4 linked regions of the Alligator mississippiensis genome follow. The main gene of each other region encodes a partner of the protein of the gene in region 2 in a complex. Links are inferred from orthologs where the notes say so. Each region holds a gene or a part of one and is shown on either strand. Other genes may lie near its edges. The genes, in order: MED24, MED7, MED13L and MED16.

The links.
Region 1: MED7 (region 2) and MED24 share a complex: the UniProt entries of both Homo sapiens proteins name them as parts of the mediator complex. The link is inferred for Alligator mississippiensis from reciprocal best matches to the Homo sapiens genes MED7 and MED24.
Region 3: MED7 (region 2) and MED13L share a complex: the UniProt entries of both Homo sapiens proteins name them as parts of the mediator complex. The link is inferred for Alligator mississippiensis from reciprocal best matches to the Homo sapiens genes MED7 and MED13L.
Region 4: MED7 (region 2) and MED16 share a complex: the UniProt entries of both Homo sapiens proteins name them as parts of the mediator complex. The link is inferred for Alligator mississippiensis from reciprocal best matches to the Homo sapiens genes MED7 and MED16.

The regions. Positions count from the first base shown.
Region 1 is NC_081827.1:164,760,145-164,767,379, reverse strand, and holds the start of MED24 (mediator of RNA polymerase II transcription subunit 24), read right to left. Parts: upstream 3,002-7,235; 5' UTR 2,895-3,001; intron 2,858-2,894; exon of another isoform or gene 2,563-2,857; intron 2,405-2,562; 5' UTR 2,396-2,404; coding exon 2,266-2,395; intron 1-2,265. UniProt on the Homo sapiens protein: Component of the Mediator complex, a coactivator involved in the regulated transcription of nearly all RNA polymerase II-dependent genes.
Region 2 is NC_081832.1:77,826,281-77,833,543, forward strand, and holds MED7 (mediator of RNA polymerase II transcription subunit 7), read right to left. Parts: upstream 2,353-7,263; 5' UTR 2,298-2,352; intron 2,284-2,297; exon of another isoform or gene 2,198-2,283; intron 1,326-2,197; 5' UTR 1,310-1,325; coding exon 617-1,309; 3' UTR 511-616; downstream 1-510. UniProt on the Homo sapiens protein: Component of the Mediator complex, a coactivator involved in the regulated transcription of nearly all RNA polymerase II-dependent genes.
Region 3 is NC_081833.1:23,709,633-23,717,453, forward strand, and holds the start of MED13L (mediator of RNA polymerase II transcription subunit 13-like), read left to right. Parts: upstream 1-4,813; 5' UTR 4,814-5,364; coding exon 5,365-5,436; intron 5,437-7,821. UniProt on the Homo sapiens protein: Component of the Mediator complex, a coactivator involved in the regulated transcription of nearly all RNA polymerase II-dependent genes.
Region 4 is NC_081839.1:3,217,733-3,225,572, reverse strand, and holds the start of MED16 (mediator of RNA polymerase II transcription subunit 16), read right to left. Parts: upstream 3,010-7,840; 5' UTR 2,899-3,009; intron 2,596-2,898; exon of another isoform or gene 2,285-2,595; intron 2,128-2,284; 5' UTR 2,063-2,127; coding exon 1,927-2,062; intron 351-1,926; coding exon 243-350; intron 1-242. UniProt on the Homo sapiens protein: Component of the Mediator complex, a coactivator involved in the regulated transcription of nearly all RNA polymerase II-dependent genes.

The sequences.
Region 1 (7,235 bases), on a different chromosome or scaffold from region 2:
CAATCTGTGTTGAATGCTTTACAGAGAAATGGGGGCCTGCATAATATTAATAAAAGCTTATCTAAGAGGCTAAAATGCAGACAAAGGAGTGGAGGCAGGAAACAAGCCCGCAAAGAGGAGTAGAAGCCTGGAATGAGGAATGTACAATGTGTGGGAGTGGCAAGGAGATAAAGCATATATCACAGTACAACTTGGCATAGAAACGAATTGTAGCACAATTATATCTAAAGGGATCCCATCACAGCAGCTGTTACTCTGGGTTATGGACGTGTAACCTGTGTATTCTTTTGTATAGCAAGATCCAGTTCACACACAACTTGAAAGGTCTGTTACCCACAGCTGAGCAGAAGCATTCAATAGTGACCCTGGACTTGGTGGAAGCACTAAATGACATATTTCTGCACCTTTGTTTATAAACATCCCATTTCAAGTCACTAGGATTGTGAAGAAAACTTTCGAAAAAGTAGTTGATGCTGTTTATTTGCTAAAGCCTGCAGTCTGTGCCAGTGCCTCTCAGAAAAACAGGACTCTGGTCAGTTTTGATTGCAAAAATTTGTCCCCTAAGAAAGATTTTAGCAAACCAAGAAAAGGAATTATACCTAAGAGAGACAGGGAGATATTGTAGCAAAGGAACACATTCTCCACGTCAGGGAAGGGATGGAATAGCAGATGTATTACTTCCCAACTGGGTCTTGCATCTGCTGTGGAAATCCAAGGAAAAAAGAGTGGAAATGGCTTTCCATCCCAGCAAGCAAGCCAGGTGAGGCTTCAAATTTAACAGCACACACCCTCTAAATAGAAGCTGATATTACAGAAGTGTCACACTTCAGAAACACCCAAGCATGGCACCACAGTAAAAATCCTAGGACCCTCACACTTCCCAGCAGGGGCAAACTGGACTTCTCATTGATGCATTGCCCTCAGGACCTGGCTGTTGCTTTCAAAATCCTGATTTTATTCTAGCCTCTGATGAGAAGGAATAATCCTCCCACTGTTAAGTGTCCAATCAGTTCCAGGGGTCCTATATTAATGCATCAATAAAGAATTTTTGAAAGCAAGTGAAAACAGGTATCAAGTGAAAAAGAACCCCCACCCCCTCCACTGGAGAAAGAAAAGACCAAGGCGATTAAATTGGTATGGAGGGAAGATAGGATTTCAGGATACAGGAGATCATGATACAGGAGATCCAACCATCAGAACAACAAGGATGCTCTATTTCAGTCTTAATGTCGGTTTAAATAGGGATTTTTACCCTTTAAAAACCTCCCCTTCAAATCAGTCCAGGACCAAGTGCTTTATATTTATTTATATAAATCTTCCCAATGCATGCTTATAGGAGAAAACCTAGCAACAAGTTACTATAATTGGCATAAGAGCCTGGCAAATCTTTAGCTATGTATACTCAAGTAGGCAACAACATTTGGCAGGATTTGTGGCAGCCCCCTTTCTTGAATAGAGATGCAGAAAATAAATGCTAATAACATCTGTGGGTTAGAAGATGCTCCCATTAAAAAAAACCCCAAAAATGTCATTTTTATATAGCACTTTTCATCCTTGGGTGTGTTATCCCATTGTATAGCTAGGCATCAGATGGGGAAGCAACAGGCCAAAGTCACGTAGGTAACCAAGAGCTGGTTACTTAGAACTACAGTGCTCCATCCACTAACCTACCCCGACTCCCTTGACATCTGTAATAGCTCAGGTGTTATTGCAGTGAGTAATCACGAGACAGCTCTCCCATCCTACAAAGATTTAAACGCTTAATTTTTAGCATATCACTGAATTCAGCAGGGCTTAGCACATGTATAAGTCTTTTCAGGACTAGAGCTTTAAGATATACCTACGTTTCAACTGAATGCCAGCTATATACCCAGGCTAAAATGAAAGCTATTTAGTTTGGGCAACAGTAGCAAAGATTTGGCAGCCTGCGTTTGTAGCAACAGAAACATACCCCTGGCATCTCTGGCGGGGTTATATCTGAGCAGCTTTCTTGCCTGTGTATCCACATCCTCACAGCTACCCAAGGGAGCATAGGTATGCCTACACCTGCTGCAACCCCACCTTTGCTGGGAAAAGCAAGCACATCCTCCATTTCCAAAGGATGCTGCCGGACAGTTTTGCAGTTCTGATAAAGCTGTGGGAGAGATAACTAGGAATATGTTACAACTGCGTAATTTGCTTTCCTTCACCATGCATCCACCTCGCTTGGAAGCGCGCAAGTACCACAGACAAACATTTGTACCTACACACAAGCTAAATCCTGACCTGCCAGGTTAAGTATGTCCCACGTGGCTCCTTTAGGGAAAAATTTCTTCATATTGATAGCCCACTGGTAATCGCTCCACCGTTCCTTCCAGGCCTGAAGAATGGCCTGCTTCAGATTGACAACCTTCATCCTTCAGGTCTGAAAGCAAGAGGGGGAAAGGTTTGGCAGCATCATCAGAGCAGGCATTTTTCACCATCCCACTTGGGGCCCCCCAGGGAAAGACATCACCCCTGCACCTCTCCCAGGGCGCATGCATGAGCTCCTACATTATTATTCATGCCACCAGCACCACTTACAAGGGGGCAGCGCTGGCTGGTCCAAGTGCTGAGCTGAGAGGCTTGAGTCCCACTCCCAAGCTGAGGGAGGAAGGACAGGCTCCAGGGGTGAGAATTGGGAGTGGGGGAGACTCGGAGCTGTGAAGCCAGGGTCCCTAGGAACTACTTCCAGCCACCGGGAACAGGCAGGGCCTGGCGCTCAAGGCAGTGACCGGCCCGAACTCCTGGGTCTCTTCACCCCCCGGGGAGGAAGCAGGCTCCTGCCAGGCGATATCTCTTCCCAGCCCGAGGCGGGGGGAGGAAAGGGGGCCACCCTCCTCCCTCCGCAGTCGGATGCCAGGAGGACCCCTCACCTGCGAGCCCCCCAGCAGCGCAGCACAGAGAAAACACCTCCTGCGGGCCCTGGACTACGCCATCTTAGCACCTACCAACAAGACCTCCCCTGATTGGCCGGAAGAACGCTCGAGCGCCGCTGAGCCTCCTTGGAGTTGTGGTTCTTGGGGGGTCGGAGCCTGGCAGACCCCAATGCAGGCAGCCGGGCTGTCTCTGCCAGCGGGGGAAGTGGGCGGTGCGGACGTTGGCTGGGGAAAACTCGGCAGGGATTTAATTTTTTCGCCAAAATCCCCGCAGAGTTAGAAATCCGTGGCATGAGTGACTGGTGCCTCCTGAATCTGAGGGGGCACCCGCAGAAGCCACCAACCCTGTCGGGGGGCACCAGCCCTACCGACAGTATCAGTGTTGGCCGTCAGGGGGGCACCGGCCCCATCAGAGGGGGGGCACGTGCACCCCTGACCAGCCGCCTATGATGTGTGGCACCAGAAAGCTTGCCCCTCCTTCCTGGCTGGGCAGCGGGGCCTAGGAAAGCTCCCTGCTGTCACCCAGCTCTGCCACCACCCCCTGCAGTGCTGCCAGAGGTATGGTAATTATCATATTTGTACCATAATTTCAACCCTTGTAGGGATGTGTGACTGATAACAGTGAAGCATTCCAAACGTACTATAATTTTTGAGGCAGCTCATTGATGCAGCACATGTAAAACCCAACTCAACATCAGAGAGTCCAAGCCAACTTCTGGACTTGCTGTCAGCACCTCCTAATGACTGCTTGCTTTGAAATAAAGAAATGCTCCAACTTCAACAACCCAGTGCTTCCTCACTCACTGGCAAGTTATAGTGAGCAATATGAAGTAAATAAGTTTTATTTGCATTTTTTTTCAGTGTAAAATCATTTTTCTGCAAAGACAATAGTTTTGAGCTTCCAATACAATCATTTCATATTTAAGACCTGGCAACGCTGACCTTCAGACACAAATGTTGCCAGGTGGAAGGATGGGTTGATGCAGCTTGTAGAGGGGGTATAGCTCAGTGGTAGAGTATCTGACTGCAGAACAAGATGCCTTGGCTCAAACCCAGGTGCCCTCTTTGGGTTCAGTACTCAGGCCAGTGCTTTTTTTTCAACACATTCATTTGGATTCAGGTATTAAAAGCAAACTGACAAAGTTCACTGATGACACCAAACTATGGGGGAGTGTGGTCACTATGGGGGAGTGCTCACTACAGGCTGACTTGTACAGGCTTGTGAGGTGGGTGGACCTCAACCTGATGATGTTTAATACAGAAAAATGTTAAGTGCTCCAGCTGGGGAGAAATAATCCACAACACACTTACAAGCAGTGCTACGCTTGCCAGCACCACAACTGAACGAGACCTAGGTGTCGTGATAGACAACAAAATGAACATGAGCCACCAATGCAGTGCTGTAGCTGGCAGAGCCAATCAAACACTGGCATGCCTCTACCAAAGCATCTCGAGTAAAGCTAAGGATGTCATCCTCCTGCTCTACTTGGCCTTGGTGAGACCACAGCTGGAGTACTGCAACCAGTTCTGGGCACCACACTTCAGGAAGGATGTGGAGAAGCTTGAGAGAGTCCAAAGGAGGGCCACATGCATGATTAGAGGCCTAGAGGGCAGGTCATATGAGGAGAGGCTGAAAGACTTGGGACTGTTCAGCCTGGAAAAGAGAAGACTCAGAGGGGACTTGGTGGCAGCCTATAAATATATTAGGGGTACATCAGGGCCTGAGGGAGCATCTGTTCACCAAGGCATTTCAGGGGAGGACAAGAAACAATGGGCATAAACTGATTGAAGACCACTTCAGGCAGTATGTAAGGAAGAACTTCTTTATAAGTTGAGTGCCAAGGGTTTGGAACAGGCTCCCCGCCAAAGGTGGTACAGTCACCCACCCTGGCAATCTTCAAAAAGCACCTTGACACCCATCTTGCTGGGTCATCTGACCCCAGCAGTCTTTCCTGCCCAAGTGCAGGGGGATTGGACCCAGTGATCTGTAAGTTCCCTTCTGGTCCCTAACATCTATGAAACTATGAAACCAGGGGTGCTTGAGCCCCAGCTCACAGGCCAAATCCAGGGTACAGAGCTGTGCCACCTGGCTTCACCATGGGTCAGAGAATTTGGTGGTGAGAGAATGGTGCCAGATCCAGCACTGCCCAGGCCATTGCCATGCCGTGGGATCCATGCTAGGCCTGCCCGCCACCAGTCTGGAATAGGTCAAGCTGCTTCCAGTCCCTGTGTCCCCGCCCTCGTGCATGTCCAGATTGGAGCCAGCTTGGAGCCTGGCCCTGATCCACGTGTCTGGATCACGGCCAGGCTGCTCCCTGCCAGCCTGTACATCCAGATTTGGGCCAAATCATTCATTCCCCACCCCCTTGGGTGATCAGATCAGGGTCAGGCTGCACACCATACTTGGCCAGCCCTGCATGCAGGATCTAGCCCACCATCCGAATGTGGCCCACAGACAGACCTGGCACTGACCATCTGGCTTGCAGAGCAAAAAAGTTGGCCACCACTGTTATAGACTAATGATTCTCACCCAAGGTGCTGGGGTACCCTGAGGTGTCACAAGATCTTTTGAGGGGTGCTGCAAGGTGTTAAGAGACAAGACAGGTGTGAGGAGACATGTGCAGGTTCAGGCTGGTCCCTGCCTGACCACTGCCCTGCCTCCACTGCCTGTCGCCTCAGCAAGGAAGTAGTGCCACCATTGAGACATTCATTTTTGAAACAGGGTGCTGCTCAGCTCACAAAAGTTATGGAGAGGGCCTTGAGTAAAGCTAGGGTGCCTTAGGAAAAATGAGGGGTGCCACACATCTAAAAAGGTTAAGAGCCACTGTTCTAGACTAACCAAAGTAGATATAGATATAATACATGCTTTTGAGGGCTGCTGCTCACTTCATCAGCTGCTGATGAAACTTCAGCTCACAAAGGTTTGTGCAATAGATAAATAGATTGATTGATGGATGAGTCTACTTTAGTTAGTCTAGAACAGTGATTTGTAACCAGAGTCCTGGGGCACCCTGGAGTGCCATCAGATCCTTTGAAGAGTGCCAGAGGAAATGTAAGGCGATTAGGGAAGTGTGAAGAGATAAGCAGATCAGGGCAGGCTCAGGCTTTTCCTGATTGGTGGCCCCCCTGTCCCCACTGCAAGGAGGTAAGCCCTGTAATAAATAAATTAGCTTTTGAAATGGGGCACCCCTCAATTCACAGAAGTTATGGAGGGTGCCTTGAGTCTAAAAGGGTGAGAACTACTGGTCTATACGATTTTTTTTTTAAGAATTTTTTTGTGTTCCAAGCCAAATCAGCCAAATCAAGTCCAAATCCGTGAGTCAGTTCAGAACTATAAGTGGCCCTACAACCAGCAAACATCCTTCACCCCCACCAGGGGCTTTAGCTACTACTGGTATATAAGGTACAAATATACCCTGCCTTCAACTTACAAGAGAACAGGGCTGAATCCTGAGATGGGTGGGTGTGGGATGGGGAGGGGTCACAGCCAGAGAGGCTGGGACTCTGCTTCTTCTAAGAAACAGTCAGCTTCTATGGCTCAGTAATATCTTCTTTATTGATTCATGGTTCTGCCAGCCACACACCAAGCTCTTTCCAAATGTCCAGGAAGCTGTTCCTGTTCTCAGGAGCTCACCGCTAGAAGAGCCTGTGAGCTTCCCAATTGATCTTCCAATCAGCAATTGTCAGAGCATGGCCCACTGGGAGCTGGCCAGATACTGGTAACAGCTTTGCATGTTGTAGTATGTGGCTACATGTTTCTAAGTGTGATGTGGGCTGAGCATATAGTCCTGACTCCCTCAACTCCTTCTCCTTTCCTTTCCAATTGTTAGGCCCCTTTAAAAGATGCTTAAATATGTGTAATAAGTCCCTAGATGTAGCTTTCCCCCAGCAAACAATCACTATAGCAACCACAGGGATGAGATATCATTGGGGTATAGGAGGGAAGGTGAGGGGCAGGACAAGGGGTAGCAAAAAGGTGGGGTGGGGGGAAGGCAGGGAAGGGTGGGAAGGAATGTTTGTGAGCCTTTTTTGTGAGATAAATTGGAAAAGGTTAATTGCAGTGTTCTCTTGTATAGTCACTGTATTTGCAGTAGGACTTACAGCACACAGAGAGGTAGAAATCTTTAGTTCTCAAGGACAAGTGGCAGGCTTTTCAAAGAAGAGCACCGCCTTCTCAACCTGGTGCACAGATCTCTGTGCCAAGCCCTCTGGCTGGAGGAGGCCATCAGAAGGGGGGAGACCTGGCAGATGTTTGGGGATTGTCTTGGTTCCCTTCCCTGTCTCAAGGGAATGCAGACGTGCTGAGCGGGGCGTGCTCTGCCACCAAGAAAAGCAGGA
Region 2 (7,263 bases):
CTAACATCAGTCCCCTGATAAATAAAATTTGTTAAGATGTTTTACAATGTGAGGAAAAACAGTGATTTTTGCAGCCACTATTAATAGATCCGACAGTAATCAGCTGTTGTTTATAACAGAATATAACATTTAATAGAAATAGTGGAAATGCAAGTAAAGTACCTTCAACGTTTTAGAAATGGGTCAGAATCTGGAGCATTCAGTAATTTCTCCATCTTTCCTCTGCTCCTACATTTTATAGAAATTCACAAGATAGTTTTGATTGAAAGATGAAAGTATTTATTGAGAAGTAAAACAAAGCCATCACATGAGCCTTACTTCACTGAACTGCTATGATGCACATTTTCCCCACCCATCAACATGAAACATTATAGAAATTTTTACTTTTCTGTTCTTACGACCACATGCAAATAACACCTACAACACAAGCAAACTCCATCTGCTTGAACACCTGCAAAAAAACCCTACAAAAAAAGACGTGAGTTTAGACATTTATACATACCCACACACTTAAGTTTCACGATTGTTTTTATTGGTACAGATAGAGGCAGCAAAAAGTACATTATACAAGCTTCAATATTAATCCCACTTCTCACCCGCTACAAAGAGCGTCCTTTCATGTCATTTCATCAATAATACTACACATCGCCGCATCTTTGTCTAAAACCTGATCTTTCTTACAGACCGAGCCTGCTCTCTGCTGTTCGTTCTGCCCGATGCAACTGCTGCCGTCATCCGTATCCATGGGTTCAGTTTTTATCCCCAAACCTCCCTCAGAATGAGGTAAGTCATCAGGCAAGGAGGTCAGGCAATTCTGGATCATTTCTACAACCCGCTCCAAATGCTTCTGAAACCTCTCGGCCGTCTCGAGACGCTGACGCTTCTGCACTTCCATCATGACCCGCAGCGTCTCTCTGGCCTGGTGCGGACGATACTCATTTATAAGATGATGGACGTGAACAAAAAGCAGCTTCAAGTCTTCCAGCTTCTCCTCTCGTTTTATGCTGCCCGGACTCCTTATCAAGATATCCAAGAGGTCCAAGAAGTTGACCAGGATGGACATATTGAGTTTCCTGAGCTCCTTCTTGTGATCAAACTGCATGGGATGCAACCGTTCGATCCCTTGGCTTTCCAAGGGGCGGATAATAAGATCGTCGCATTGGAATTGGTTACCAAACATCATGTAGCTGTCTTTCACGGGCGGCGGGGGCTTCGGGGCCAGCCCCTTGCGAATGTTTTCATCTGTATATTCCTTTATATATTGCATCGGAGGTGGAGGCAGAGCGCTCACTTGCTGCGGTTCCCCCATGGTGGCAGAGAAGTGCCTGGGGTGTAAAAAACAGCCCGTAAAACACCGCTCAGACCAACTGGAAAAAAGGAGTTCACGACACAGGGACAAACCCGACGATACCCCTGAGACCAAGCGGGACGTAACGCAACCGACAGGAAGTCAAATGCTCCAGGACGCGGGTCGTAGAGATTAACACCTTTCAGAGGTTGGAAGGAGGGGATATTTACTTCTCGCACACGTGCACTTTTCTTACCCTGATAGTTCTTTAAAGAAATGTCATTATTTCTTTGTTTTTATTCTCGAAGAATTGGAAGAAACCAACAAACATAAATAATATGCATCGAGTGCGGCGGGGGGGGGGGGGACACGACACACGGTGATGCACACACAGAGCTGGGCGAGCGCCCGCGTGGAAACCACCTCACCTCGCTCTGTTTCTACGGGGGGTTATTAAACGTGCGGCAACCGTTCTTGGGACAAGTCATGCAAGAATAGGGACGGGGCGAGGCTGGGGTGGACACAGGATCCTGGTCAAACCAAACCTTTGTGATCCCATAAGGGGGGATCGGGGGACACGTACACTGAGGGGAGCAGACCCGCTCAGAAGGAAGGCAACATCTGGGGGACCAACCCCCCCAGCCAACATCTGGGGGACAAACCCCCACATTTGGGAGACCAACCCCCCCGCCAACACCTGGGGCACCAACCAACACTTGGGGCTCCCAGCCAACATCTGGGGCACCAACCCCCCCCTCCCAGCCAACATCTGGGAGACGAACCCGCACATTTGGGAGACCAACCCCCCCCCATCATCAGAGGCACCACGACCCCCTGCCAACATCTGGAGGACCAAGCCCCGACATCTGGAGGAGCAACTCCGCCCCCACCAACATCTGGAGGACGAACCTCCCCGCCCCCGCCAAGCTCTGTGGGCAGGCCCGTCCCGGCCCGGGCTCAGGCCGCCCTGTCCTGGCGCCGCTCCGGCCCCGGGGCCCGCTGCACACACCTCCGGCCGCCGCGGCGCAACTTCCGCTCCGCCCCGATTGGCTGAGGTGGCTCAGGGCCGGCCACTCCATTGGTGGCCCCGCACGTCACTCACCCGCTGTTCCCACCCCCTCGCGCCGCTTCCGGAGCGCGTCGGGCGACAGTTTCCGGGCGTGCGGCGCACGCGCAGTGGCCTGACCTGGGGGGCGTGCCCTTGCCCGGCTGTTGTGCGGTACAGCCCCACCTTGTGATGCCCGGCGGGGAGGGGGAGGGGCGATCCCTGGCTCTGCCACTGACACCTCATGTGACCTTGGGCACGTCCCTTTACACCGCCTGCCACCGACTCCCATGTGACCTTGGGCACGTCCCTGAGCACCCCTCTGCCACCGACTCTCCGTGTGCCCTTGGGCGCGTCCCTTAGCACCGCTGCAGGCAGGCTGCGGGACACGGCTCTTCCCCCGGGCAGGGCAGCGGTGCAGAGACGTGCAGCCCAGCCTGCCAGGCGTCATCAGGGACCCCCCAGCACCCCGGGGGCATGGAGGGCGCCTCCAGCATGCACCCCTGGCCTCTGAGCGCCGGCGCCTGCTGGCTGCCACCACGGCATGTTCTCTCTCGTGGCAGCAGAGGGCAGCAGCGGCTTTGGTTTGACCAGAATCAATTGGTTTCCTAGGGTTGTCTCTTTAATTGGGCTCATAGTTGGTCCTCCAGATGTTCAGAGGGGTGTTCATCATCCAGATGTGTGCGGGGGGGGGGGAATAGTTGGTCATCCAGATGTTAGCGAGGGCAGGGAGTTGGTCATCCAGATGTTGGGGGAGGAAACAGTTGATTATTGAGATGTGAGTGTAGGGGGAGTTGGTTGTCCAGATGTTGGCACGGCCGGGGGGGGGGGGCAGTTGCTCCTCCAGATGTTGTGGCATTGGTCATCCAGGTGTGTGGGGGGCAGTTGGTCATCCAGATGTTAGCGAGGGCAGGGGGAGTTGGTCATCCAGATGTTGGGGGGGGGAAGAGTTGGTTATTGAGATGTGGGTGTAGGGGGAGTTGGTTGTCCAGATGTTGGCGGGGGGGGCACTTGCTCCTCCAGATGTTGGTGGGGGGAGGAAGTGGAATTTAGTTCAAGAGTTAATGATATCTTTTATTGGATCCAATAAAAGAGATCGCCCTAAGAAATCCCTGAGAATAAACCAGCAAGAAGGGACTGGACCCGCTACCCAGAGGAATAAAAGAATAGGGCCAAACAAACCTGGCTTCTCCCAACGACGCCCATTTGCAGCCTGTTTAATTGACTGCCCCTTCCTAAAAAAAATATTTGGAAAAGTCGGCACGGGCAGCAATGTCGTTTGTAAATGTTAATTATTTCAGTTGCAAGAGATGAAAAATAAAATAGGGATTCATTTCACATAAAAATGTTTTTGCCCGTCCAGTTTGCTGATATCCTCCAGACCGAACGCAGAGGCAAGAGCAGCGGTGGTTATGATACGGTGCCGGCAGCTTGACCTGCGATCCATTTCTCCTTGGAGCCTGGGGATACTTTTTAAAGCTTGGCTTTGTGACTGCAGGGGCTCAGATCATGCCCCGACGGGCGCTGCAAGAGCCCGGGCACCATGAGAACGAAGACGGCGCAGCCTTTCGGCTTCGGAGAAGTTTCCAAGGAAGTGTGTGTTGTCACTACAAGCGGTGCCCTTGTTTTCTGTCATCATTCAGCCCTTCAAGTGCTGCCGCCACCATATACAGTAGTGATGGCAATCACGTTATCTGCTTCATCTGCGGTTCCTGTCCAGCTCATTTCCCAGAAACATATTGCCAAATAAAGGCTTGTCCTGGCAGCACTGCTTGAATGTTTAATTACGTGCTCTTTTGTCAAATCTGGGCTCAAATGTTCCCTTTCTTTGGTAAGACACCAGGCCCCAAATCACAGTTATTTTGTCCCAAAGACAGCTGGTGATTAATTGTGTCCAGTTTCAAAGGAGCAAAGTCTGAGGTTCCCATATCTCGATGACATTTTTCACCTTCTCTTGCCTACTGGCAATATTGGAGAGAGGGCCGGCCGTGCTGGATCTTTTGACATCCGGCAATGTGAGTTAATTCAGTCTTCCTCATACAAAACCACTGCCCAAGTGACAGTATAACGTCACTGATGGTATCGTTGCCAGACAGGAGGTTCAGACTTAGGCAGCCGGGTACAGAAAGCTTTTTTCTGCACACAAGAATTTTTATGGGCAGCCATGGTGGGCAACCTGATGCAGAAAAAAGCATGTGACAGGATAAGAGTGGTTTGACGGTGTTTTTTCAAGCATTTCCCCCCCTTGCTGCTCGCTGTGCCCTGCACTCAGCTTTGAGGTGTAGGCGTCATGTAGGGCATTATTTTTAAGCGAGAGTTTTCACATGTGAATTCCGATAAAACCAGAAATAGTGGAGCATAAGTGGCCCAGAGTCACCACTGCATGCCTACATATCAAGACCACTAAAGCAAGTTGAATACCAGCGTGGAAAGAATCAAGCGGATTAAAAGAGTTTGGGTTATTACAAGCTACCTCTATGTAGGAGAAACATGGGGTTGCAATGCAAAGAAGCACAGTCCTGGGGATAACGCACCAGTCTGGTGCCAAGAGATAAGGGATCCATGCTCAGCTCTGCCACAGGCCTTTAACAAAGGTCCTGGACTACAGACAAGGCATTGCCCACTGCCTCTTGAAGTTGGCTTATCCGCCCTTGTATTTAATACTCATTGGGTAATCGCAGAATCCAGGGCATGCTACTATTCAGCACGGCATCCGTCTCATTGATCCTGATCCTCTGGTTCGTTTCCCTGTTCCTGCCCTAGGCACCTTCTGCTCCTGGCTCCAAGCGGACCAGTTTCAAGAGCGGGGTTGGAGAAGGCTCAAGGCCATGCCTTGCCCGTGGCCTGGGGGTGAGAGCACTTTGCTAGAAAGCAGGAGCTGAAGATGCCAATCCCATTGAGTGCAGGAGGTCTAGTTCCCGGATATCACGTTCCTTAGGCCAGGGCCCTGACTATAAGGCCACTGAGCCAAAAGGTGGGAGGATCTGCCTTCCCCCAGGGTTTTCCACCACTCAGTTTTCAGTACTTGCACAGCAGTACACACATGCCCACGCAGTGTAGCCTGCTGAGCACACGCAGAAGGGAAATGCAGGGAGAGCAGAGGCGTGTGCAATCCAAAGTGTGCACATGCACCAAAAGTGGCAGATGCAGCTACCTAAGTGCCACGTCAGCATGTGAAGGTGGAAAAGGATTTTACCATTACTCTTTCCAGGTTAGCGCCAGGGCCATCAGGATCGGCAGAAAGATTCCTGAGGTCTTTTGCCTCATTTGTAAAATGCAGCTAATAATGCTTCCCTTCTCTCACCCTCTCTTATCCATCACCATCTCTTGTCTCTCACCATCTCTTGAAGCTGTTCAGGGCAGGGACTGCTGCTTGTTATGCGCATGTAGTGCTGGCTATCCAGACAGTCGCTACAGTTTTCCCCATCTCTCTGAGGGCCCCTGAGTGCAACTTCAGTGCAAATAACTAATAACTTTCACACAGAGAAAAGTCGGCCCGTTGCAAAATACTTCACGGTCAAAAACCTCATCGTCTCACCTAAGAACACAGAGATAGGAAGACTGTTTCTAAATCTTAAGTTGAAAAAAAGGGAAATAAATACACCTCCTCCAGTGACCTGCCGAGGGATACCAACAGCACCGTGCAAGCGTGGGGGACTTTCTGGTTTTGCACTACTGCAACGCAAGTTGGGTTTGATTTTACACAGCCTTGTACTGAGAGTCTCCTACAGCCTCTTGGCAGAGCTGTCACATGCTTTGACTGCACAAAGCATATTGGGGAGTCTAATAATCACTCAGTTGGTCTAATTAAAGATATCACAACCACTTCAAGAACCTTGCCTGCCTATTGGGGAGTCTTACAAAAAACTAGAACTCTTGGTTGGGAAGTCTAGCATGTTGCCTTTTAGGACACGTTTATGAACAAGACTCCTATCTGGGTGTCTGTTTGTCTCACTAGACAACAGATTTGCACTGAGTGAGCTTGTTAAACATCTGCAAGTGTAGCCGTAGAGCCCGATTCTTGAATGACACGGTCCTTTCAGCGCTTCTCACATGTCAAGCTGGTATCTAATGGTCCTGAATATGCTGTGGGTCCTCCCTGAGGTTTCTTCTTCTGCATGTTGGGCTCTTCTTTCTTCAAAAGCTTTCATTGCACACTTAATAAGCTGTCTCCAAGTGCTTCCATCCTCAGCAGTCTTCTCTCAGTCATTTGGCTCACCATTCATTGCCTTCATATCACTCTTGTGAGCCTCTTTGAAATGGAAATTAGGAACGCCTGTGTGGTCTCCTTCCTGTAAAGGGTTCTCCATGCAAGAAATCCTCGGGGAAATGGCCATCGTCCATTCTCTGTGTATGGCCAAGCCATCAAAGTCAACGCTGACCAAGAAGAGAGTGGATGCTGAGTGTTGCCGGGTCTTTGGTTGTAGCCCTGCCGCTCACACTGAGACACTCGTGCCTAGACCCACAGATCTGTGGTTTGTGTCTTGGCGACTTGCCTGATCTCACTCAGGAGGCCACGCAGATGCAGCCTCCGATCTTCTTTGTGGTCTTCTTGAGTCACTTTCCTCACTGGGGAGCGTAGTCACCAAGATCGAGGCGATAGAGATACCAGTTCAAGAATTACATTGGTTTCCCTCCCGTTCCTGGTAGCCAGATGGGCGATTCTGAGAACGAGCAAGAAAGAACCAGCCGACGCACCCCGAATGGCTGAAGGACCTTTCTGCAGGGTTTCCAGAGAAGAAGCTAACCCTTAGCTAGAGGTACCAGGGATAAATGTCATCTTGGGAGTCAAGAGAAGTGCTCACTTCCCCCATGCATTCAAGCTCCCTCTCTGGGTTTGTACATTCCCCGCTGGAAGCTCGGTCTTATTAACCATTGCATTAATGTAGCACCCACGAGCCTTGGGGTGGACAAATGACAGCCAGTGAGG
Region 3 (7,821 bases), on a different chromosome or scaffold from region 2:
CAAAAGGCTCCCACCTTTCTTCAACAGTTTCACTTGCTCTTGCATTGGCACAATTTGATAGTGCAGCATGAGTGGAAATTGCTAACTGAGTTTTCTCTTTTTCCATGCAGAGTTTCAAAACATTGATACATCAGTTTGTTTTCGGAGCAACCTTCTGTCTAGGAGTGTGAATCCTGATGTTCAGTTTAGTACAGATAAGCTGGTGATCTGTACAGCATTCTGCGCCTTGCATAGCCCTGGTAATGTAAACATCCCTCAGGTATTGCTATGAGTGATGACATAGTCTAGAAGGTGCCATTGTTTTGACTGAGGGTGCTACCAAAAGTAGAACCACTTTTCTGGCATGCTGAAAATGGTGTTTGTAACAGCAAGGTCAAACTCTGTGCAGAGTGTTAGGAGTAATTCTTCATTTGTGTTTAGAGACCCATGTCCAAATTTCCCCATGAATGTTCCAAGTGGCATAGTCATCTCCAGTGTGTGTATTGAAATCACCCAGTAGTAGGATTTTATCATTGTTGAAGGTATTTCTTAGAGTGTCACTCAGCTGTCTTCATTTCTTTGAAAGCAAGTAGTGTTGGGGTGTAGGTGTTATTATGGCCATAGAGTTGTTATGGGACAGTGGTATCAGGAATGTCATTAAGTGCTTGGATATTGACACAGTTTGATGTGATCATTTATTAGCAATGGAGTTTGCTATTGTGAATCCTACCCAATGTAGGCCGGTGTTTTGGCCTGCCTTGTAACCTGACAAGTAGAAAGTGTGTTCTTTTTCTCTAAGCACACTGCTGTCATGTAGTCTAGTCTTGGATAAGGCAGTGATATCTATTTGATACCTGTGTAGCTCCTTTGCTATTAATGCAGTTCTTCTACAAGCTCGATTTTCCTTTTAGTGTATGAATGTTCCAGCATCCAATTGTCAGTTTCTGTCTGTTTTTGTTTCTCCCACTTAAAAAGGAGATCCCGCTGATCATAGGAAACCAGCCAGGAGTTGGTGAGAGGTGAGCCTTTTTTACCCCAACTTTTATTGGGGCCTCCTTGGATTGAGGCAGGTGGTGCCTCCCTAATTAGGGCCACCTGGTTGCCTAGGTAGGACCTCATGTTCCCATCACCAAGAGAGAGTCATGCAACCATCACACCTAAGCCACTCATGTGGAGATCATAGGCTACCTGCTTCCAGCTGTTCAGGTTTGTCAGCACTGCCTAGGAAATTCTCACCATGACTGTTTGGTGAAGAGTTTGTGGATGATGATGGTGAATACCTCAGCCCACCCCTAACCCCTTCCATTGTTGCCGCCTGAGGGACTGACGCAGGATGATGCAGCAGTGGTGGGGGGAGAAGCAGGCCAGATGTGGTTTGAGGGAATAGTGGGCGCGCCGCAGCAGTGGCAGTGGGGGGAGGGGAGGGGAGGAGTGGGCCCGGGCCTCACGTGGTGGGGAGGAGGACCAAGCCCAAGCTGGGGGAGAAGCTGGCCCACGCGGTGGGGGGAGCAGTGGGCCTAGGCTGCCACAGCGGTGAGAGGGAACAGGATGTGCGGGCTTGGAGCTGACAGTGGGGGGAGGAAGGGGGTGGGGTAGAAATGGGCCCGGGCCCAAGGAGGGGAAGAGGCTCATTTCTCCCCTTTCTCAGCTGCTACCATGTCGGGCTGGGCCCACTGCTCCTGCCCACCGCTGTGGTGGGCGGGCTTCTCCTCAAGCTCACCCAGGCCCACTTCTCCCTGCCCCCTCCCTCCTCCCCATTGGCTCTGAGCCCACTCCTCCTGTTCCCCTGCCACCGCTGGGTCGGCCCAGGCCTGCTGCCCCCCCCCTCCACGGCAGGCCGGCTTCTCCCCACCCTTGAGCCTGGTTCTCCCTTGCATTGGGCCAAGGCCCACTCCTCCCCTCCCCCTGCGGCGGGGAGGGAGAGATGGTGGGGAAGAGGGGTGGGAGGGGAATGGGAAGGGGGGTTACTTGGGCCAAGGCCCACTCCTCCCCTCCCCACTGTGGCGGGGAGGGAGAGATGGTGGGGAAGAGGGGTGGGAGGGGAATGGGGGTTACTTGTGGCTGTGTCCCGCCATGGTGGCAGCCGTCACTGAAGCAGCAGAGGAGATGTGGGGAGTGGCCGTGTCCCTGCCCTGGCACGAGGCAGCTGAATGCAGGCCTCTGTCCTCCTCCCCTGTCATTTTTGATGGGCAATTTACTAGTCTAATATTATAAAAGCCTTAGTTTGTCTGTCTGTCTGTTTATAACGCTTTATTTGTGACCTGATTGGCTGTCTCAGCAGCCAATCAGAATGCTCTGGACAGACAGGACAGAGAGTGGAGTGCCACCATGGCAGTGAGGGCTGGGGGCGAGGGGCCAGGCCAATGGAGCTAGCGTGGTCCCCCCTGCCCCACTCCTTGGAGGCAGAGGGGGATGGTGGGGATGGAGCCGGATGGCCTCACCCCACCAATCTGCTCCTTGGAGCTAGGGGCCAGAGCACCCCCCCGTCACCCCGCAACAAGATCCAGCAGGGAGACGGGGGGGAGGAGAGGAAGCAGGCCTGCCATGGCGGGGCGGGGGGGCAATGGGGTTGGGCCCGCAGCAGGGGGCAGGGGAAGAAGGGGGAGTGGTCCTTCTTCCCCCGAACCCAAACTGCTGGGGGAGGGGGGGGGGGACAGAGTTGAGCCTGAAGGGGGCGGGGCCAGACTAGTGCGGTGGGGGGCAGGGACGGGAGCACAGGGCCAAATGCTGACCTCCATCCCCACCTCCCCCCATCATTTTTGATGGGCAATTTGCTAGTAGCAGTAGTAATAATAATAATTATAATTATTATTATTATTAGTTTTTCAGGTTCTTCAGGGAGGATGGAATAGAACTGATGCTTAACTCCACTTACGCAGGATGGCGGGGGGGAATCATCCTAATAGGTGGAATAGAATCTGACCCCAGGGATCTAAAGTCTATCCAGAGCAGTGCATTTGTACAGTTTGGACAGGGCTGTTGTGCCAGTATATGGCTCCAGATTTACTACAACGAAACAGGTCTTCTTACTAATTCTGTTCTGTCAGTGTAATAAAATACTAGCTCCTGCTGATTACAACTATTTGCAAAGAAAAGTAAGCGATGAAAAATATTATTTAAAAACGTGAAGAAAGCTCTTGTTTTCACCAAATAGGATAAAAAAATCTGCTTTTGTACTACATCAGATAGTTTAAAATGTGTTGTATGTTTTTTCTATTTGTTATTCAATATTGACTTTAATTGCTAGGCAAATTTAAATTAATTTTACTTTTTAAATGGCGATTTTCCATTTGTTAATGAGAAGTCTAGGTAGTTCAGCTTTATTCTACATGGCTAAGTCAGTTTCCTACTTGAAAGTTTCAAAGGGACGCTGTCAACTTTAGCATTTTACATACAGTTCTTTATTCATGTTGCAAAACATACATTAAAGTAGAAATAAATATTTTCATTAAAATGAAGTAATATTAACTATAGCTATTTGTTGCTATTTGATTACTTTTTTGAGTGTTTTTCCCCTAGGACAATGAATACAATTGTGCTCAGTTTCACTTGTTTATAGTCAGCTTTACTTTCAGGTATAGTTAATTTGAGGGAATGTGTATTGTTAAAGATAGGCAAATGTTTGTTTTAAGAGCTGTTTCAAGTCGAACAAAACAAACATGTATGAGGTAAGATTCTTTATATCAGTCTAAAAAGCATCCTAAAAGTGTGGGACAATTTGATTTAGCTTTTTAACATGGCAATCTCCATGGAAACTATAATGTTAAAAGGAATAACTTAATTCTAAATTACTTTTTGCATTTTTTAAATTTATAAATACACTTACTGCTAAATATTTTGTTTTGCTTTCTAAGATATAGCAAAGTACTGGTATGCCCTGTACGTCACATTTAAAGCAATGAGTGATTCGGTTCCCCTTCCAGCTACTCTTCCGGTGCCAGCAATATAGTCGAAAGGGCCCTGGCAATTTATTTATTCGTTTTTGTTTGCGTCTGGATGGACATTATCATCGTTTTGTGCTGGAGGATGGACAAGCGCAGTTATTCACTCTTAACATGGGATCTTTCACTCTGCAGCAAGTGACAGCAAGTTTGGGGTCTCTAAGCCACCCAATAATAAAATGTATCAAGCGATTTGCCTGCAGGTAATATTGCTAGCAAGGCGGATGCCACGGTTTGTTTTTTACGAAGCACCTTGCGCTCTCCCCAGAGGGCTGGGTATCGCGCCAGTCGTCAGCACTGAGGCAGGGGAGGTTTGCAAAAACTCGGATCGTCCAGACTTGTGCCCAAGCTGCCACTTTTGGGTAGCCACTGCAACGGGGAGATGCCTCTGGTTATAATGGAAGGGCACGGATTCATTTGGGTGATTTTCTTTTCCTGGACCAGCGCCCTGGTTGGGATGAAGTCAGACAGGTTTTGGCCTGGAAACCACCTCCTGCAGGCCTCCAAGGTGAGCAGGGCAAGGGGAGGCTCTAGGAAGAGGGGGCCTGGTCCACCTGCCCGAGATCCAGGGCCCGCCCCGGCTCCCACCGAGCAGCAGCCCCTGCTCCAGCTGGAGGCGGCGCCGCTGGAAGCCGCTGCCCCGAGCCCGCCGGGCGGCCCCGCCCCCGAGCCCGTTGCTGACTCCGCAGCACCCCCAGCGGAGCCTCGGGACTGCGCAGGGGGGGCGGGAGCCGGAGCGCTGCCCCCCTCCCGTCGGAACGCGTCACGTGGGGCCGCGGCGGCCAATGGCGAGGCGCGCTGGGCCTGGCGGCCGCCATTGCTGTCAGAGCGGAGAGAGGCGGCGGCCGGGCGTGCGGCGGAGCGGGCAGCGGCGGCGGCGCCGGGCGGGCAGCGCTGCGCGAGGGCGGCGGGGACGGGCGGGGACAGCGCGCGCGCTCTGGCCGGGGGCCGCCGCCAGCCGCCCGCAGCCCCCGGGGCCCCGCGCGGGGCGTAAACAAGGCGGCGGCGGCGGCAGCGGCGGCAGGAAAGCAGCGCCCGCCCACCGCCAGCGGCGGCAGCAGCGAGGGCGGCCGGGTCGGGCCGGGCCGGGACACGGCCTCCGCCGCCCGCCGCGTCCTGCCGGGGCCGCTCCACGCCGGCCGCCCAACCTGGCCGCGGGCGGGCCCCCCCCGGCGGTGCTGACGGCGCGGCCCCCGGCGGCTCGGGGTGTCGGTCGCGGCGCGCAGCGCGGGCCCCCGAGCGCCCCCGGGCGGCGCAGCGCCCCCTGCCGGCCCCGCCTGCGCCGCCGAGCCCGGGGCAGGACCGGGACCGGGACCAGGACCGGGACCAGGACCAGGACCAGCACCGCGGCGGCCGCCCCCGTGAGCCGCCCCGCCCCGCCCCGCCCCACCGGGCCCGTCTCTTCAGACATGCCCCGCTCCGGCGGCCGGGCTCGCCGAGGATCATGACTGCGGCGGCCAACTGGGTGGCGAACGGGGCCAGCCTGGAGGACTGTCACTCCAACCTCTTCTCGCTGGTGAGTGCCTGGCGCGGGCGGGGGGCGAGCCCGGCCCGACCACACCCGGCCCGGCCCCGGCGCACAACGCGCTGCTCGGCGGGCGACGACGCTCCAACTTCGCGGCTCGGCTGCCGCTGCCAGGGGGCTTTATATCCCGGCCGGCGCGGCGCGGCGGCTCCTCCGCAAGCCCCTCCCCCGGCTCCGCTCCGTGTTTGTTTTGCTCTCCGACGTCGGGGTCGCGAGCGCGTGTCCCCTCCCCGGCGGGGGGGGCGGGGGCGCAGCCGGTCCTCTGCCCGTGCCCGCGGGGAGCAGCCCCCGCCGCCTCTGCCCGCCTGCCCCGGCGCTTCGCGCCTCCCAAACTGCGTGTGCGCTCATGTCTCTGCTCCCCCCTCTCGGAGCGGCAAACGCCATTTCAGCAGCAAGCAGTTGCGCGCAGCGATTACGTGCAGGGTGGGCACCCTGGGCTCCGGCCGCTGGACGCGCCAGCTGTCCTGCTGGGGCCGCAGCTCTGTCCCCATCCCACAGCTCAAAGGAGAGGAGCGGGGACAACACCTCCTCACTTTTTTTGTTTCCTAAGGGAAGCGCTCGCTGGGAGTGTGGTGGGCTGGGTATCTTGCTAAAACAGATGCTGTCTTCTCATCTTGCTGGTAACTGGCAACTTTCACTCTGTTTTTGATGGCAGGGTTTAATTTTGCAGCAGTTATTGTATCAATTCTTCATAGTGAGACACTCAGCTAATTGCAGATCCTTAAAGAGAGTAAGAGCTGTCGCTTCTTTGTTTCAGTGATGGTTCACTTCAAAATGCCTTTTCCCCTCCTTGTCCCAGATACCTTGTCCCTGCTTGCTGGAGAGCAGACCTAAGGGTTCTCCCTTAGTCATTCAGCTAGGAGCTTCCCACACTGATACCTGGAGCAAGTAGGAAGCGAAGTGGGGCTTCATTAGAGTCTGCAGTTGGGTTGAGCTAAAACAATAGCTAGTAATGGGAGGTTGGGAACAGCCTTCTGGAGGAATGTGTGGGGAGGAAGAGCGCAAAATGTGAGAGTCGAAAGTCTCACTTCTGGAGAGGCAGGGAAGGAATGTTGAGCAGGTGGTGATGCTGGTTTGTTTTTTGTTTTGTCTTTGTTCCCAGTTCATGTGCGTATGTGTCTTCATTTTCTAAAATCCTTGGTTCAGGGGTAGGGATGTGTAAGTGACTAAGAACCGTGTCATTTCTAAGTTGTATAAATGGCATAGTATCAGACGTGTTTTGGGGCTGTTGGTTGTACCTGTGCTGATCTAAGGACGTAGGCAGACAAGGTTCTTTGGGTAAATGCCGTATCTTTTATTAGGCCAACCATTACTTGGTTTAATAAAAGATATTGATCGCATTTACCCAAAGAACCTTGTCCACCTAAGTATATTAGGCATACTTTCATTCACTTCTCTTCATCTTAATTTGGAGTGTCTCTCACATTTGATGTATCTTGAATTTATTAAGAATGTAACTCTTTGGGGCAGAAGTCTTATTTACCTATGCACGTGTACAGCATATATTGTGTTGGGGTGCTGAGCCTGTCATGGCTTTTGGGTGGCCCCGTAATACAAACTAAAAAGCTCTTGGCTTTTGCATTTGTTCCATAGTTGTGAAAATGGTTACACTGTTAAAAAAATAAAATTGCATTTACAGAGTTTTTTCCCTGAACCATGATAGTGTGTATGTGGCTGTGCGTGTGCAGATGTAGCAGTGATTCGTATAGATCAGTTTTGCATATGGAGACAAGCTAGCCATTAAATACAGGATAAATAACTATTAGAACTGTTAGCAGTAAGTTAATAAACAGTATCTTTAAAAAAAGAGGATTATTCAGGTTTTTTAATAGGAACCTGAGCATATTTTAGGAAGTTGTTAGCATGGCATAACTTCTTGTGTAGTGTTATACTCGGTGCTAATCGCTACTAAAATAGTTTTTGGCATATGATATTTTAAACTATAAAGTTATAAGATTCAGAGATCTCCTCCTTCCCCAAGAGTTTACCATTTATACTGATAAACATCTATTGAGCAGTAAGTTTTTAATATGTATGCAGAATATCAATGAAAAAATTGAAAATTCTTCATCTCTCATTCCTGTTAATCATCTATAAATTCTGCAGAGCCAGAAAATATTGCCCTTAATTTGTCTTATAAAACTACCTTAACAACTTCACTTGCTAGTGGCTTTTGTGTGGCTGTGGTATCAAGTAACTTCTAAGCAGTGATTTGCAGATTAATGTCTTAATTAAGAAATTATGCTTTCCTACGTATTTTGTGTTAACTTCACTTGAAATGTCAAGGAACTGACAAGACTCAACTATTTTTTTTGTAAACAAGTTAATTAACTGTGGTAAAGTCATGTTTGTTTTAGACTCTTATCGTGTCAGAGA
Region 4 (7,840 bases), on a different chromosome or scaffold from region 2:
AGCAGCTTGCTGGCAGCTGTACAGCTAATCACTGATGGTTAAAATAAAACCATAACTCCTTTGAATCTGGAAGGGGTGAGAAGCACAGCAATCAGTGCAGACCCAGCTGACCAGATCCATGCACAGGGCCACAGAGAGTGGGAGGCAAAGGAGAAGTCTGTCCAAACCCTCCTCCTGGCATCTCACCACACTCTGCAATGTTGTGAAGCCAGGGAAATAAACGCTGTTTGAGCAGTGCTTACCTGACTGATCCCATTCTAAGCAGGTGATAATTTCAACGTGCCCAGAGTTAATGGAATAAACGTCCCATGGATGCTCTGTGTCGATGATATGGACCATGTGGGTGAGATCTAGGAAGAAAACACACAAGGTCAGTTCCAGGTAACCTCCACTGCAGGTTTTTAAACTGTGACAACTCTCAGAGCAGGACACCAGCAACAGCTTCCCTCATTTCTACAGCAACACATATACACAGGCTTCCTTACCTGATGTACCAAACGAGCCACTCACTGCTCCAAAGAATTAACTGTCTACAGCTCCTTAGCTGGCGTTTCTCAATCTCAGGATTGTGAAAGTGCTGGAGGGGTGGAAATCAAAACCACCTCCCATTCTGCAAGCAGTATCTTTAATAAAACCAGCTGAAGGAGCAAGGCACTTCCAGCCTGGGAAGAGGAGCCCTTGATTATAAAAGAGGCTGAGAGTCACTGCCCTGGTGTATGAAATGACTATGATGTTTTGCGGAGAGGAAAAGAGAAAGAACCTAAATCTCCCACACTGTTTGCACTAGGACTCACTGATGTCAGAGCCAGCAGGGCCCATGACCGCACAAGTCCTAGCTGCCCGTGTACTACAGGCCACAGAACTTTGCCCGGTTCCCCTTGTATTGAGCACGGTTCCAGGCGACTAAGGCACAGCCTCTAGAAAGGCATCCGATTTTGACCTAAAGTGATCAAGAGACGGGAAATCCACCACTACCCTAGAAAACCTCTCTGCCTACGTTTTCTGGCTGCAGCCTGCTTGTCGAGAAGCCCAGCGTGCGAGTCTCACAAGGTGAGAGGCTTGGTTATTCCCCAAAACAACAGGATAACATGTCCTATTGAGAACAATTTAAGCAGGCTCTGACTCTGCACTGAACCCCTGCAGTCAGACCCCTCAACTCCCTGAAACCAGTGGCACCCGGTTCCATCCATGTGGATCTGACAACAGAATTAAGGTCACAAGCAATAAATCAATGGTGCCTGGAGATGAATCCCCAATCCTTTCCGCTGCATTTGCTCCTGCCTGTTGAACCACAGAAAAGGGGAAAACTTGTCACTTCAGCCAGGAAGCACCTTGCTTCATTGGAAGGCAGCAGAAGCAAGAGACCCGTGCCATGGAGGAGACTAAACAGCAAATGCCAAAGTCATTTTCATTCACTGTGATAGGATGAAACATTGCTGCTGTCGCATCCACCGCAGCAGCCACTGACACCTGCTTGTCCCAACTCTTGATAACAAGCGTGCTGTCTACCCAGAGGAGCACACAAAACACCAACAGACTCTCCCTGTGCCCGGAAAAGGGTGGTTTTTTTGCTCAAAAGCTTGCAAAGAACAATTTTTCCAACTATTTAGTTTAGGTGCAAAGAACAATTCTTCCAGCTCTTTCGTTTAGATATCGCATCGACCCAAAAAACCTCGTCCACAACCAGCAAGGAGAATAAATAAGATGTGCAAACAACCCTCTCACGCAACCACCGGGCAATCAAAGCCAGTGAGACTTATACTCTTAAATCACTTTGGGATTCGCTAAAGCACCTTTCTGAATGCTTTATCCCCAGCTAGAAGCAATGCTAGGGGGGACTACAACAGGACACCGCTCTTCCTCGTGGAAAATTCCCATTGTAAGACATCGTTCAGGAAAAGAGGAAAACACACAATTTTGCCCTACCTTTTTCCTCTTCATTTTTGAGGTCTGTCGTGAAGGCGATCAGGTTCCTGCAGGACCAAGCACAAACCAGTGGGATTGAAGGGCAGTGGTTGCTTTTGGGCCTCTTCTCCCACTCGCAGATGTAAGCCAAGTCCATGCTGCCTCGGGAAGGCGTCCAAGGCACCGCTCGCCTTCGCGACGTCTAGTCATGGACTTTGGTGCCTATGGAAGAGAAGAATCGCTGTTCTCTGCTGTCGGACTCTCTCCCCCCGTTTCACCCCGCTCAGGAGACCCGGGCCCATCGCTGGAAAGCTGCTTTATAAAGTAGCAGCTGCTTTCCAAAGGAAACGCGCTGCGCTGAGCCAGGGCCCCCAAATACCGAGAGGGTCGCACTGGGCAGGGCCAGCGGAGGGGCGAATGCCTGGCACTATTGACATGCTTTCTGGCACGGTCTCGGTTGGTCCAAGAACGGTGTCATCTCTGCACCACGAGTTCAGGCTTTTTGCATCTCGCACGACTCGGGAATCCTTAAAAACGCCTCGGGTCCTGCCCCAAGACCTCGCCGAATACCTGCCTTTCAGGGAGATGGAAGGGGGGGCTCGCTGCCTCCGCCAACGCCGTCAGCATCGCCCCCCACCAGCAACCCCTGGCCCGGACACAGGGCAGCCAAAGCGCCCCCCCAATGTGCAGCCAGGGGTGCCCCCCAGGGGTAAATGGAGTGCCCCCCCCTCCCCCAGGGGCAACTAGAGTGCCCCCCACCCCACCCAGGGGCAACTAGAGCCCTCCCCACCCCACCCAGGGCAGCCAGAGGCCCATCCCCCACTCCTCCAGGGGACAACCAGAGCCTCCCCCCAATCAGGGGCAACTGAAATGCCCCCCAGGGGCAACTGGAGCTGCCCCCAGGGTAGCCAGAGCCCCCTCCCCTCCCCAAGGGGCGACTGGAGCCCCCCACAGCCCCCCCCCTTGCCTCCCCTCCCCCCGCGCAGGACTCACCCCCACCCCCACCCCAGCGCTCCTTCGCCGCTGGCTGACGAAGGCCCCCGGCAGGGCTGCCCGCGCTGCGCCTGAGCCAAACGTGCAACTCAGGGCCGAGACGGAGCCCTCGGCGAGGGGGGGAGAGGGAGGCTCCTCGGCGGGAGGGCTGTTCGGCTCAAGCCGCAGGCGGTTTCGGAGCCGCGCGCGCAGGCATCGTTGCGGACGCCCCCAAGTCGGGGTCTTTCTATATCAGGCTGCGCTCCGGGCCGGGTGTTGATTTGTATACAAGCTCCCTCTCCCAGAATCCCTCGCATCGCCGGCGCTGGAAAAGTGGAAGTTTCCTAAGATTTTACCACAAATAACTTAGAAATTAAAAAAGTATCTGCATCATACAGTATTTTTCATGAATCATTCATCTAATTATACTCCGTAACGTGCTATAGTTAATCACCATAAGAGTAAAAGTATGAATAACTATGAGGTATAAATATCGATCTGGGAGAAGGGACATTCGTGCTCGCTTCGGCAGCACATATACTAAAATTGGAACGATACAGAGAAGATTAGCATGGCCCCTGCGCAAGGATGACACGCAAATTCGTGAAGCGTTCCATATTTTGCTCCTCTCGGGTCCATAGTTTGCTCTCCCAATGTTCCGCTTTGTGCATTCCCTTGGGCCCATAGTTTTGCTCTCCCTTGCAGCTGCAGCGGGACCCCCACCCCGAGCCCCTTTGCCATGTGGGGGCTGGAAGGAAACGCCCCCTCCCAGTAAGCCCCAGTAGCGCTGCCTAGTGCACAGCCTAGCAAACTGCGCTGGGCTTCCCAGAAGCCCACGGTGCCCCTGGGAGGGCAGGTCTACCCAGCCCCTGGCCCTGCTGCCAGGGTGCAGGGCAGCTGCCCCAGGTGGCAGGAAGGGGCACGGGGCAAGGGCTCCTGTGCATGCTTTTGCAAGGCCGGGAGCGGTACCACCCATGGGAAAGCAGGTAGAGGGCACGAGGGGCTTCATTTCTTCTCCCCTGGAGGTCCTCATGGAGGAAGGTTACGTGCCACTGTGCCTGCCTCAGCCCAGCAGGCGCCTGGCATGCTTGTGGGTGCAGCACATCTGTTTTCTTGGGGGTCTCCCATCCAAGCCAGCTTGGGCCTGGGGGCATTAGGCACCCCAACCCCAGCCCCTTTTCCCTCCCATGTCCACGTCCTGCCTCTTCCACGTGGGGTTTTCCAGTTGGCACAAACTGAAGCTGGAGCAAAATGCTCATTGCAGTCCCACGTGCCAACAAGGGGATGCCCCCTTGTCTTGTTTGCCACCAGCCAAAAGGTCAAGCTGGGAAGCCCAAAAGCAATCCCACCGCTGTCCCCATAAACTGCACAGCTGAACCCCTTGGCCAATGCAGTGCCTATCTTCAAGAAAGGGAGGAAAGTGGATCCGGCTAACTATAGGCCCATCAGCCTGACTTCTATCCCGGGGAAGATCTTAGAAAAGTTTATTAAAGAGGCCATCCTTAATGGACTGGCCGACGCCAACATCTTAAGGGATAGCCAGCACGGGTTTGTTGCGGGTAGGTCTTGCTTGACCAATCTCATTTCCTTCTACGACCAGGTGACCTATCACCTGGACAAGGGGGAAGAGATTGATGTCATATATCTTGACTTCAACAAGCCTTCAATCTGGTGTCCCATGATCACCTCTTGGCAAAACTGGCTAACTGTGACCTTGGGTCCACCACAATCTGCTGGCTGGGGAACTGGCTCCATGGTGGGACCCAGAGAGGGGTGGTTGAAGGAAGCCAGTCCTCTTGGTGTCCTGTGACCAGTGGGGTCCCCCAGGGCTCTGTCCTTGGACCCACACTGTTCAACATCTTCATTAATGATGTGGACATTGGAGTCAGAAGTGGACTGGCCAAGTTCGCCGATGACACCAAACTTTGGGGCAAAGCATCCACACCAGAAGACAGGCGGATGATCCAGGCTGACCTGGACAGGCTCAGCAAGTGGGCGGATGAGAACCTGATGGTGTTCAACGCCGATAAATGCAAGGTTCTCCACCTTGGGAAGAAAAACCCGCAGCATCCTTATAGGCTCGGCAGTGCTATGTTGGCTAGCACTATGGAAGAAAGAGACTTGGGGGTCATCATTGACCACAAGATGAACATGAGCCGGCAATGCGATGCTGCGGCTGGTAAAGCGACCAAAACGCTGGCTTGCATCCATAGATGCTTCTCAAGCAAATCCTGGGACGTCATTCTCCCCCTGTACTCGGCCTTGGTGAGGCCGCAGCTGGAGTACTGCGTCCAGTTTTGGGCTCCACAATTCAAAAAGGATGTGGAGAAGCTTGAGAGAGTCCAGAGAAGAGCCACGCGCATGATCAGAGGTCAGGGAAGCAGACCCTACGATGACAGGCTGAGAGCCCTGGGGCTCTTTAGCCTGGAAAAGCGCAGGCTCAGGGGTGATCTGGTGGCCACCTACAAGTTTATCAGGGGTGACCACCAGTATCTGGGGGAACGTCTGTTCACCAGAGCGCCCCAAGGGATGACGAGGACGAATGATCACAAACTACTACAAGATCGTTTCAGGCTGGACATAAGGAAGAATTTCTTTACTGTCCGAGCCCCCAAGGTCTGGAACAGCCTGCCGCCGGAGGTGGTTCAAGCACCTTCATTGAACACCTTCAAGATGAAACTGGATGCTTATCTTGCTGGGATCCTATGACCCCAGCTGACGTCCTGCCCTTTGGGCGGGGGGCTGGACTCGATGATCTTCCGAGGTCCCTTCCAGCCCGAATGTCTATGAATCTATGAAATCTTAAGATGTGCTGGAGAGCGGCCGTCTCCTGCCCACGTGCACCTGGCGGTCACGCAGCCTCTTATTGAAAAGCAATTGCAGGGCAGGAAGCCTCCCGCAGCCCCCGGCACCTGGCAGGGGAGATGCTTTCAGCCCCGGTGGCTCTTACTTCCCCTTCGTCTCGGTTTCGAAGGCCGTGGCACAGGTACAGGTGAGGCCTGTCCCTTGCTGATCCCTGCCAGAGTCTCCGACTGCCTCCAAGTGCAAGGAGCTCAGCTGTGCAGTTTATGGGGACAGCGGTGGGATTGCTTTTGGGCTTCCCAGCTTGGCCTTTTGGCTGGTGGCAAACAAGACAAGGGGGCATCCAACCTCCAAGGCCTGCGGGGCCTGGATCTGGGACCACCTGAAGCATCCAGAGTTTGGGAGGCAGGAGACTTGCTAACGGACAAGGCAAGAACTGGGGCCAAGGGCTGCAAGGGATAGAAACCCTCTCCTCCGTCCCACAAGCTGCAGCGCAGAGGGACAAACACGTGGGAGACATTTGAGCTCAACCAGCTCCCAGGCTCCCGCGTTGCACCCCACCGTCTCCTGCTGGAAGCCCCCCGGGGACGGACACCGACGGCTGCGCCCCCCAACAGAGACGCGGACACAGGGAGTCCGGAGCACCATGGTTTATTGTTCTCGTGCAGATGCCTCCCGGCTCTGTACGTGTCCTCGCCTTCCCCAGCCCAGCCCCCCACAGCAACCAGCAAAAGGAGCAGTGGCAAGAGCTGGAGCTGGATTCGGGGCATCGAACACATTTAAGAGGAAGGAAATCGTGATGCCATGCTCCCGAAGCAACGACACAACCACGGGCCACACGCCGCAGGCCCCAGTGTGCGCTCGGCTGCACGGGACGCTGGCGGGGCCACGAAGATCACTTTGGCTTGCCAAGAGGGCAGAGGTGGAAGGAGGAGGCACCAGTGATGGGGACCCATGGGAGAGCTGGGCCTTCGGGAGGATTTGATCGGAGCAGAAGATGCTATAAAAGGGCCCGATTCGCTCCCCGCTGCTGGGGGAGCAAGTCCTCCTTGCCCCCAGCGCTCGATGCCGTGGTGGTGAAGTGTGACACGGCCCTGCTCTCCCCAATCCTGCTCGCACCCAGGGTGAATCGGGAGCGATCCCAGCAAAGGCAGCAAACCCCATCCATCACCCAGCGCAAGAAGCACCACGACCCCCCATCCTCGACCCACCCCAGCTCCCCCCCGGCACGGGCATGCACGAGGCTTTTGTACAGCCGTGAGCAGTGACGCACACAAGTGCAAGGCAGCAGCACCCCGAGCCCAGCGCGTCCCTTTCAAACCAGCTGCTATATACACCGAAGAGAAGCCCTTGATACACAGACACACGCACAAAAACCCCACAGAGCGTACACGTTAAAAAAACCACAGGCGGCACAGTCTGCAGCCCTACAGCGCTGGAAACCAAGCCCATTTCACACAGCACCACAGCACGAAACACTCCCGTGCCCCGGCGCGCCCAGCTGCCCAGGGTGGCGGAGCTGCAACGCTGAGCTCCAGCCACCTTGGGAGCGGCGGGGCAGCCGGGGCCCGAGTTAAATCACGCACACACAAATATGTATAAAAAAAGGACACGCTATATTACATTTAAAAAGGATGGGAGCCCTGCCCTGCAGAGAAAGCCAGCCCTTGGCATTAAATCTCGCTGCTCTCTGCATTGACGCTTCAGCTGCTGCAGCCCAGCTTCGGTGCCAGGCTGCAGGGAGAAGCGATGGGACGGGGCTGGTGCCAACACCCAGCCCGTCCCCCCAGAGCTGCCACGAGAGCTAAAACAGACCCCCTTCCCCTGGGACCTAACCCTGGAGATGAGCCTTTAGCTGGAGGAAGGCAGTGCTCGGGGCCGTTTGGCTACGGCAAGACCCAGACCCCTGAAGAGGCAAGTGTTTGGCTCTGGACGGGCACGGGGAGGCAAGTGCCGGGGCAGAGGCTTTCCACAGGGCTGCTCTGGCTTTAGGAGTGCTTGCCCTGGGAGAGGGAAAAAGAGAGGCACAAAAAACTAATCACAGGCTCTCACAGCTGCCCCCGTCCCAGACAGCATCACTGATGCAGGGACGTCCCCCCACCTATTTGCAAAATGTAAATGGAGGAGAGAAATCCTCCTCCTCGGAGGACCACCCCCCAGA